2 linked regions of the Caenorhabditis elegans genome follow. The protein of the gene in region 2 purifies or fractionates together with the protein of the main gene of each other region. This does not show direct contact. Each region holds a gene or a part of one and is shown on either strand. Other genes may lie near its edges. The genes, in order: par-1 and let-99.

Region 1 (4,933 bases), on a different chromosome or scaffold from region 2:
CAAATTTTGTCCATCAAATGGTAGACTTCCGGATACAAGAGTATAGAGAATTACACCAAGACTCCAAACATCTACTTCAGGACCATCGTACTTTTTACCGGAAAATAATTCTGGAGCAGCGTACGGTGGAGATCCACAAAATGTGTCGAGTTTGTTTCCAAGTGAGAAGGTATTCGAAAATCCAAAATCAGCAATTTTAATATTCATATCTTGATCGAGAAGCAAATTTTCAGCTTTCAAATCTCGATGAATTATATTTTTCGAATGCAAATATTGAACAGCAGAGACAATTTGTCGAAATTTGGCTCTTGCTTCTTTCTCTTTCATTCTTCCGTGTGCAACCAAATAATCAAATACTTCACCACCGGATGCATATTCGAGTACTAAATACAGTGTCTGTTCAGTTTCCATCACTTGATATAATTTCACAATATTCGGATGATCCAATTGTTTCATAATTTTCACTTCTCGGAACAATTTTTGAAGACTCGATGGGTTCAGAGCAGTCTTGTCGATAATTTTTATAGCGACTTCATGTCCGGTTATCACGTGCTTTGCGAGTTTTACCTGCAAAAATAATTAATTAAATGGTCATATATCTAAGATTTATTTTTGTCAGGCTGTTTCGTATTTCCGACTGGGAAAAAAAAAGATTTTTAATAAAAAGTTACGGTGCACGGTCTCCAAGGTCCGGACACGACTTAAAATGTTCTGAACAAAAGAGTGTACTCCTTTAAAGGGTACTGTAGTTGTGATTCCCTGTTTTTTGTGCAATGTTTTGCAAATTTTCACAATATGTCTATCATTTTTTCGAAGTTTATATTTCTTTCATGACTTTTATATGATTTTGGGTTTTCGAAAAATAAATTTTAAGCGTAAAAAAATGAAACCGAGATTTTTTTTTCTGAAATTTTCTCTCGTTTCTCAAAAAAAATATATAAAAAAGTTAAATTACTTCTCAAAAAGGAAATATCATTAACTATATATAAAAAAATACAGTTCGTCTGTCCGGAGTTTGTAGTCTATGTAGTCTTTGGAGTCTGTGACGTCACGCCCAAATTTCAGTGAGAATAGTGGGCGTGGCACCCTTCGTGGTGAGACCCATCGTGTTGAGACCCTACGTGGTGAGACCCTTCGTGGTGAGACCCTTCGTGGTGAGACCCATCGTGGTGAGACCCTTCGTGGTGAGACCCAAAATGTTGGCGTGAAATTCAAATTTTAAGTGAAAAAAATTTTGGCGGGAAATTCAAATTTTAAGTGAAAAAAATTTTGGCGGGAAATTCAAATTTTCAGTAAAAAAAATTTTGGCGGGAAATTCAAATTTTCAGTGAAAAAAATTTTAGCAGGAAATTCAAATTTTCAGTTAAAAAAATTTTGGCGGGAAATTCAATCAGTGAAAAAAATTTTGGCGGGAAATTCAAATTTTCAGTGAAAAAAATTTTGGCGGGAAATTCAAATTTTCAGTGAAAAAATTTTGGCGGGAAATTCAAATTTTCAGTGAAAAAAATTTTAGCAGGAAATTCAAATTTTCAGTAAAAAAAATTTTGGCGGGAAATTCAATCAGTGAAAAAAATTTTGGCAGGAAATTCAAATTTTCAGTAAAAAAAATTTTGGCGGGAAATTCAAATTTTCAGTGAAAAAAATTTTTGGCGGGAAATTCAAATTTTCAGTGAAAAAATTTTTGGCGGGAAATTCAAATTTTCAGTGAAAAAATTTTTGGCGGGAAATTCAAATTTTCAGTGAAAAAATTTTTGGCGGGAAATTCAAATTTTCAGTGAAAAAAATTTTAGCGGGAAATTCAAATTTTCAGTGAAAAAATTTTTGGCGGGAAATTCAAATTTTCTGAGAAACTTTTTGTTAGCTTAAGTACCACCTGGAACTGGCGAGACCCATCGTGGTGGGACCTTTAAAAATATGGGCGGGAGCTTCAAAATTTATGAGAAAAGAAATTTTGGCGGGAATTCAAATTTCCAAGAAAAATTTTGGCGGGAAATTCAAATTTTCTGAGAAAAAGATTTTGACGGGAAATTCAAATTTTCTGAGGAAAACATTTGGCGGGAAATTCAAATTTTGGTTCTGGAATCAATTTTTTGTTTCAGCACCTTCTGGAAGTTTCAAGAAAATTCTAGAATGTTCTAGAATCATCTGGAAAATTCAAAAAAGTTCTGAAATGCTCTACAACCTCCTATAACTGTAGGAGTTTTTATTTGTTTCGTCACATCTATATTCAAAGAACTTACTATTAGTAGTTAATTATTCAGACTTCTCCAGTTAAGGAAAGTTATTAACTTATTGAAAAACTGTAACTCTGTGGAATTTTTTCGGGGGAGGGGGACAGCTCGCCACGCCAACAGTGAGAAAAATAGTGTGGTGCGCGGACCTCGAATGATGTCGGCGGCTGATATTACCTGGGGTACCGCTTTTTGCCTTTTCCCCGTGAGTGAACGAGAAAAAGGCGGGGACTATTTTGGCGTACACGCAACGCAGTTTTATAATTTTGAGTGTAGAAAAATCAGAACATTCTAACTGTCTCTTTGAATTTTCTGAATCGAATACCATGGAAGAAGAAAATGCGATTTAATCGATGAAGTTTCAACTTTTTTAATGATACATTTTTGAATGATTAAAAGGACATCTATGTATTATACATTTTAAACTCCGCCAGTCGTTGGCCGCGCCGGAGGCGCGGTCATCGACTGGTTTTAATAAATAAAATTTTTAAAAAATTTGGAAAACAGAAAATTTGCCAAAAACCGGGAGTTTGTAACTACAGTAATCCTTAAAGGCGCTCGGTCGTGTCGAGACCGGCTACAGTATGTTTCAAGCTCTAATTTTTTGATAACTATTTTTTTTCGAAATTTCCAATCATCAAGTGCTCACCTTTGCAAAATTTCCCTTTCCAATAGTCTTCAATAGCTTATACTTTCCAACGTGTACATCCTGATCGTTGCGTCGTGCTGCCGATCGACTTGACATACCCGATTGTCCAGTAGATCGTGCATGTGATGAAGAGCTGGAAAAATTTTTATTGAAAACTGGTGGACTGGGGCTTTATTTTAATTTTAAATGTGAACTAAAATTAACTTTTTTCGGTTATGTGTGACATGATCTCCATCAGGTGACACTTTCACCGTTCGCCGTTTCCCAGATGAAGTTAGTGTGGGAGCCATCGGAGCTGTAGTGACCACTTCAGACACTTTTCGCTTCGGGATCAGAGATTCCTCCTCTTCCGGAATAGGCGTCACAGATGAACTACTTGGCTGGCACATAAATCTAGCGAGTAACGACGAGTATGCCGCATTGAACATATCGAATTAGGTCAAACGGACGCGTAAGAGCCCTGGGGCTCCCCGAAATGGAGCAAAGCGTGGAGGACGGACACACTGGAAAAAACGAGGAGAGCGCCGGCAGTAGAAGAGGAGCAAGCGAGCAAGAAGAAGAAGATGGGCGGCCTTTCTCCATACACATCCATCCATCCATCCATCCACACTTTGGAGAAGAGACACAAATTGCATCCATGTCTCTCTCTATCTGTCTGTATTCCTCTTGAAAAAAGTGTGAGCAAAAGGAGAAAAAAACTAAGAGGGAATATGTGTCCCCTTCTCTTTCTATTGCTCCCATCACATCGGAATTTCTCCAAAAAACCCTCCCCGCCGACCGATAAATGCCCCCACAAAGTGCTGCTCCAAGTGCTACATAAAATCGTGTCCCCCCCCCCCCCGCCATGCCTCTTCGTTTTTTCTAATTTCCCTTCGCGGACCCCCGTTTTTTTGTGGCTTTGATGGACGGGGCTCGTTGAATTTCTGTGTTTAAATTTTCATTCGATGCTGACTGCTTGCGGGGCCATCCAACGTCATCTCGTTGTGCTTGCAATTCTTCATTTTGAGTGAAGACGTCAGCACAGAGGGGAAGAAATGACGACTTTTACAGCCGATTTAATGAAAAAAAAAAACTCGAAAAATAGCGCTTCGGAAACTTTTTTTTTTCATTTGAGACGCGTTGTTCCAATAGAAAAGGAAGTTCCAGCCCCTCAGTTAGAAAAAATTGTTTTTCAAAAAGAAAACCGTTAAACTGCCTTTTTTGGATATAAAATCAAAGGTCAACCGAATCTAGAAACGTACTAATTATATTCGGCCACTTTGCCCCATTTAGTGGCTACGTTCATCATATTGCCCGTACCTCGTAGAACACAAAAAAAGTAAGGCGAACTCAGGCGCCGGACATAAAATGTAAAATCTGATGTTCAACAAGAACAACGATGGTCTTCTTCTATACTACAAGCTGCTATGATGAATCATGGAAAATTTCTTGCAGCACGACCAACGAAAAATTGAGGGGGCGATGAGTCATATTCAAGAAGAGAAGCAGCCGGAAAAAATATTTTGAAACAAGATAGAAACCTGGTCAATTCATATTCCGGAAAAAAGGTCCGAGGCTGTTGAGATGGATAATATGCAGAATGCCGTGAAGATGTGGAAGGTGGTGAATATGAATATGGATGATCGTCACAGCACAAATCATCGAGATCCAGTGCAAATGCGTACGATTTCTTCGTCATCTTAACAGTTCTTGAATCTTGAATCGCGAACAATAATTGAATAAAATAGTGTCGCACGTGAATGTGTAAGGTGATCCAGCAGCTTCTGAGCAGGTGTGTCAACCAGTCTGCACTGTCAGTCAGTTCAGTACAAAAATGAGTCAGTTCTTCAATTCTCTCAGTCGAGGCGCTTGTCGTTTTCTCACAACGTCTGCGTGTCCACCTCTCCTATTACTGACTCTCTTTCCGATAAGTCAATAATAAAAATTGAATAGATTGGGGGTGGAGGAGGTAGAACCGAATAGAATAGGACAACACACCAGGTGCACCGAGACGACGAAGATGGAGTTGAAAAAAAGAAGTTCGCGTCTCACTTTTCTTCTTTATAATCGTACT
Region 2 (5,451 bases):
TATAAAAAGTCCCTCCAAAACTTCCGGCAAATCGGCAAACCGGCAATTCAATTTTTCCAATTTGCCAAACGGCAGTTGCCGCCCATCTCTGTCACAAAGTATATGTTAATGTAGAACCAAATTTCTAAACTTTAAACTCATTAAAAATGAAAAAAAAAACCAATTTGAAAACTATTAACGCGAACCGAAAATGTGTTTTGTGATAGAAAATTTGAAAAATTTCAACCTTCGAACTTTGAATTTCCGTGAACATTTCTTCCCCTTACAATTTCTCATATATAAAGCCTCCGAAAATCTACAAAATTCATATTTTCTCACTTTACAAGATTCAAAACCTCTCGGAAGCGAAAAAAGAATAATGATCTCGCAAGTGAGTTTTCTGTCAGGATTCTGATATTTTCCAAACCTCTCGCTTCCAGATCATTTTGCTATTAACTCTCAATATCTTGCCATTTGTGCTGGTCCATTGTGGGAGCAAGAAGAAAACAGTGGCTCCAAAACCGGTCGCTAAACTTATGGCAGCACCTGCTGGAGGAGTCGGAAAAAGCGACTCATTCGATTCGAAGAAACAAGACGTTCCATCGTCAAAGAAGGATGAACCAGTGGCTCCAAAGAAAGAAGATGTGAGTTATTTTTGGCATATTTTAAAAGACAAAACGAACGTTTTTAGGAGGGCAACTACGAGGAGCTCGCCATCCCACAATAGTCCTCAATGTATCCTAATAAATTTTTTGAAATTCCCCCTTTTCTGTGTTATTAAAGCATAGAAGAAAATAAATACATATAGATAAATCATCGTCAAAATTTATGGAACAAAACGAACATCGAGAATTTCAATTCAACCAGAATTGTAAAATAACATTTAGAAAAATGATGATAATGACACAAGAATTCGGTGAGCGGGGAGGAATGGAACAAAATAAATAATATATTGAATATATACATGGGGCGAAGATTTTTAGATTTATTTACGCAGCAATCTTGTGAACAATCCTTTCTTCGTTTTCTCACATGCCACTTCTCTTAGTGGTTTCTTAAAAACTGCCGGAGATGCTTGCGGTTTATCCGGAACTGGTGGTTGCCAATCATTTCGACTTCTGGTGATCTTTGCGTACCGAGGACCACTATATCTGTCCTTTTCTTCACATTCCAATCGTTTGACCTGTTCGATAAATTCAACAGGTACTGCAAAAAGAGATTGAAAGTTTGCGAGGAGGACAGCGGTTATCAGCATTCCTTGTTGCTTTCGGCATTTACTACAAACACCTGTCCAGAGTCCGATGATTGCCTGAAATCGAAAATTTAAAATTGATATTACGCAGACGCAAAAGTTCGCGACAAAAGTACGGTACCGGTCTCGAGGCGACAAATTTTTCTTTTGTCGAATGAAACGAATGAAGATTTCTGCAGAATTTTAATTGTTGAAATATAGGTGTTAATTTTGTAGTGCTAAATTGATAAATATTTTTTTTTATCAAATAACTAATTAAAATCCATAAAAATTCGGCAGAAATGAGAGTTTGAAATTACAGTACTCCTTGAGGGCGCACACATTTTCTTATCTAACAAAAAGTTGTCGTGTCGAGACCGGTTACAGTAGTTTTCTTGCAAAATTATCCCCTCCTTACCGCTTCCCGATTGTTGGAAGATCCGTTAGAAGGATCAGCGAGGTCGAAAACTGCATTCGTTTCGATCGATTGAATGAATGTAACAAATTTGTGAAGTTTCCGACGTCGTGAAGTTGGAAGCGAAAGAAGTACCAATTGAATTGCTTCGATCAACCATTGCTCTCGGATTTCGTAGGATTTTTCGTCTGAAATTATAATTTTAAGTAAAAATCGTGAAACTGTAATAAAAATAAAATTCTTTACCTTGTATTTCCAAATTCACTCTATTATCAAATGGTGATAACGCACGTCGTCGATACTTTGAAGCTCGAATTCCGCATGCTGGAAGATCACGGGAGAATCCATCGACCATCAATCCAGCCTCCTCAATACTAGACGCAGACGAAGAAATCATCACTTTCGACCATCGCCTTGCAGGCCCATTGTCAAGCATTGCCGCGAAGCTATCGATTTTGCAGAGGAGATTAACAATAAGAGAGCATTCATCGAATTGAAGAGGAGCATTCAAGTCTTCGAGACGATTGACTAGAGTTATGAAAATCCGATTGACGTTGTATTCCAACCCTGTGTCCATTTTTTTATGCGTGACGAAGGGATATCGAACAAGATAATCCATGAATTGAATAACAGTTTGGGGATAATCGGGCTGCAGTCCCTGACATCTCGATTTGACGATTCCATCAGCATGATCTATTTCAATCATGTTCCACTGAATATCGTATCCATCGACTTTAGATGCCCATTCACAGGGAAGAGTGCGATCGTAAATTTGTTCCAATCGTCCAAGCAGCTCTGTTTTCCAAAATGAGCATTCGTTGTTTGCCTGGACAGAGTCTGCAACTGGAACAACCGACGATCTTCTCATGATGGATTCGTACATTCTTCCACGCGATAACAATGCTGGATTTGATCCTGCGATGCTTGTCCGATGATTTTGATATCTGCTAGGAACTGCAGGCAACGGTCCTTGTGGATGCATAAAGACGACGTCTTTCGGGGCTTCTCGAATTGGCGGAGTGGTTACTTTCTGACTACGAAGAGCAGCTTCAGCTTTTTCTTGTTCCAAAACACAATGATTTCGATCAAGGGATGCTGAACGACGGGTTGGTTGATTGACTTTCGTGTGATTTCGTCTTGATTTGAAAAACGGTAACCAATCATAAACCTTCTCTTTCATCTCAGAAACTTCTCGTTTTTCAGTATATTCTTCTGTACAGATACTTTCAAGTGATCTGTTCAAAATCTTCGGAGTTCGTTGTTTCTTCGGGATTTCATCGTCTTTATGATCATCGAAACCGTGATTCTCAACGCCGCCTGAAGAATTATCGATGCCTGCTTTGTCAATGTTGCCATTAGATCGCGATAATCTTCGTGGGAGCCTTGCCTTTGGTGGCCGGTGCATTGTCGCGGCAGGAGAGGCAGGTTGAGCAACTCTGGAAATATATTTTATAGCACAGTTTAAAATGATTATTTGGCATACTTTGCACTTTTGCGAGCACCACTGAAAGACGCTGATCGACGTGATCGGGGCTTGGGATGCTTCAACTCATCCAAAGTCTTCATGAACAAATATATTCTCGATTCACTGAATGGCCTCCTTTGCTTGACTTTCTTCGGGAAGGCTTCTGAAATCACGTTCATGTCCATCATGAACTCCAGGAACTTCTGCATCTTGTCTCGTTCCGGAACATTGTTAGGGATGATTCGTGGCATTTCAATCATCAGAAAATCCACAGCTTCTTTCCCGCTGAAACTGTTTTCCGCAGTGGCCAATCCTCTTCTGTTCGTTTTGAGTGATAAGTTTGAACGAAAATGCCATAGAATTTCGTCGAACTGAAAATCAGAATAAAATTTCAAAAGACAAATGTGAAACATTTTAATACCAGATGCGTCGCCTTGAACTTCTCCGATGAGTAGTCGGCAGACATCACGGCAAGACGGCCTAAAACTTGAATTTTGATGGTTTATTGATAAATTTAAGAACTTCTTAAAAGAAAACGAGATTTCATCACGAAAAAAAGCAAGAATGAGGAAAAATTTCTGGAAACTTCCTAAAAATTGCTGAAACGAGTGAAGTTTTGGCGCCGAAGTTTTGTTTACGGACCAAACACACGAAAACACGACTTGTCACACAACTTATTAGCTACAGTAACCCATTCTGCTTTGAAAATTTCTCTTTTTAATTAAAAATTCCTCGATTCAGATGTTTTTTTTTTCTCAAAGTGTTTCTAATAATTATATTTTCCTCGAAATCCACACTATTTTACATAAAACAAATCATCTTATTCTGCTCTTTTCGCCGTTTACACCATCTGTCCTTCTCCAATGACTCCTTCTCTGCGTCTCTTTCACTCTCTCGCCGCCCTCTTTTTCTCTGTCGTCTCTCACTTCGACGTACTTTCTCTCGTGTTGTTGTTCCCGTACTTTTGTGTGTTCCACTGTTTGTGAGATGACGGCTAGTTGCCTGGTACTGGATTCTCACCAGTTTTAATTGATTTTTCATCAAATTTTCTTTAAAAACTGATTAAACTTTGTGATTTTTATCGTATTTTTACAGATTTTCAGTTCAAAATGTCCGATGAGAAGTCTACCACACCAACCGCTCAACTCGACGCTCCAGCCGATGGAAATATGAATGATTTGACGTCGTTGGTACGTAAATACTTGAAAAAAATTGTCAATTTTCTAAAAAATCCTAAAACTCAGATACAAGGAGTTCTGCAACAGACACAGGATCGATTCCAGCACATGTCGGATCAGATTATTCGGCGAATCGATGATATGACAACGAGAATCGATGATTTGGAGAAGAATATCAACGATTTGCTGCAATCGAACCAAGTTGAACATCCGCCAAGCGCTCAATAAGATTGGTACGGAATGAGAAAAATGGGAAACATTCTCAAAAATTTCGGTCGATGTTTTGACCACTCGTTATTTTTGAAAAACAGTGTTGTTTTTGATGTCGACTTTGAAATTTCAAAAAAAAACAATAATATGGGCCGTGGGACCCAATTAGAAATACAGTAAAAAACGCTCTTTGGCCGAATATTTTATAATTTTCATGTATGAAGTCAATCCTTTTATTCCTTCTTAACTTTAGTTTGAAATATATTTAGATTTCCTAGCGCCTTTCCAATCGATTTACCACGTGGTAATCAGGCCGATTGCACCGTTATTCCAAGACTTTATCATTAAAAATTAGTATAAAAATATAGAACTTCACCTATTAATTTTGGCTGAAAAATTCGCCGAAGAGCTCAAAAATGGTCTGAAAGATGCCAAATTTCCACTAAAAAATCAATTTGTAGAGATTATTAATAACTAATCTCTCTTCAATTTCTATTTTTTCCAGCTCTACACTCTTCCCAAATGAATCATCGTCGCTTCCTTCTTCATCATCATCATAATTCCAATTCGTTTTGTGTGCTTCTCTGCGTCTCTCCTACATACATATACTCTTTTCACGTCTTCTTCTTCTTCTTTTTCTACTGATTATGCACGTGTTGAGAGGATTCATGACTACTATGTTGTGCCTCCTGCTTTTAATCTCTTATTCAATAACTTTTGTTGCATTTTATTACGATTTTCGGAATTATTTTATTTATATGTGAAAACACAAATTTTGCCAAAAATTCAAATTTTTGTGCATTTTTAAAAAAAATTTTCAATATGAAACTATTCATCTTACTTTTTCTTCTTCTTCCCTTGAATTTTTTCTCATACTAAATGTTGATTTCTCACAGTTTTTACTAACTATTTCGCATCCGGATTTTCAGATAAAAAACATATAATTTCAGAAATGGGAGCTCAAAATTCGAAG

The links.
Region 1: the proteins of let-99 (region 2) and par-1 purify together in Caenorhabditis elegans (affinity purification with western blotting, with the first as the bait; 2 studies listed by BioGRID). This does not show direct contact.

Annotation. Positions count from the first base shown.
Region 1 is NC_003283.11:14,123,231-14,128,163, forward strand, and holds the start of par-1 (Serine/threonine-protein kinase par-1), read right to left. Parts: upstream 3,309-4,933; coding exon 3,085-3,308; exon of another isoform or gene 3,026-3,084; intron 3,014-3,025; coding exon 2,881-3,013; intron 568-2,880; coding exon 1-567. UniProt on the Caenorhabditis elegans protein: Required for cytoplasmic partitioning and asymmetric cell division in early embryogenesis. Phosphorylates and restricts the asymmetry effector mex-5 (and possibly also mex-6) to the anterior cytoplasm of the zygote.
Region 2 is NC_003282.8:12,565,961-12,571,411, reverse strand, and holds let-99 (Protein let-99), read right to left. Parts: upstream 3,571-5,451; 5' UTR 3,557-3,570; coding exon 3,512-3,556; intron 3,462-3,511; coding exon 3,109-3,461; intron 3,062-3,108; coding exon 1,872-3,061; intron 1,814-1,871; coding exon 1,629-1,813; intron 1,289-1,628; coding exon 965-1,288; 3' UTR 790-964; downstream 1-789. Other genes in the region: K08E7.4 (uncharacterized protein), read left to right, coding at 359-370, 420-623, 671-706; hsb-1 (Heat shock factor-binding protein 1), read left to right, coding at 4,200-4,280, 4,335-4,496; eak-7 (MTOR-associated protein MEAK7), read left to right, coding at 5,431-5,451. UniProt on the Caenorhabditis elegans protein: Required for the proper orientation of spindles after the establishment of polarity. May play a role in interactions between the astral microtubules and the cortical cytoskeleton. Required for asymmetric forces on nuclei and spindles.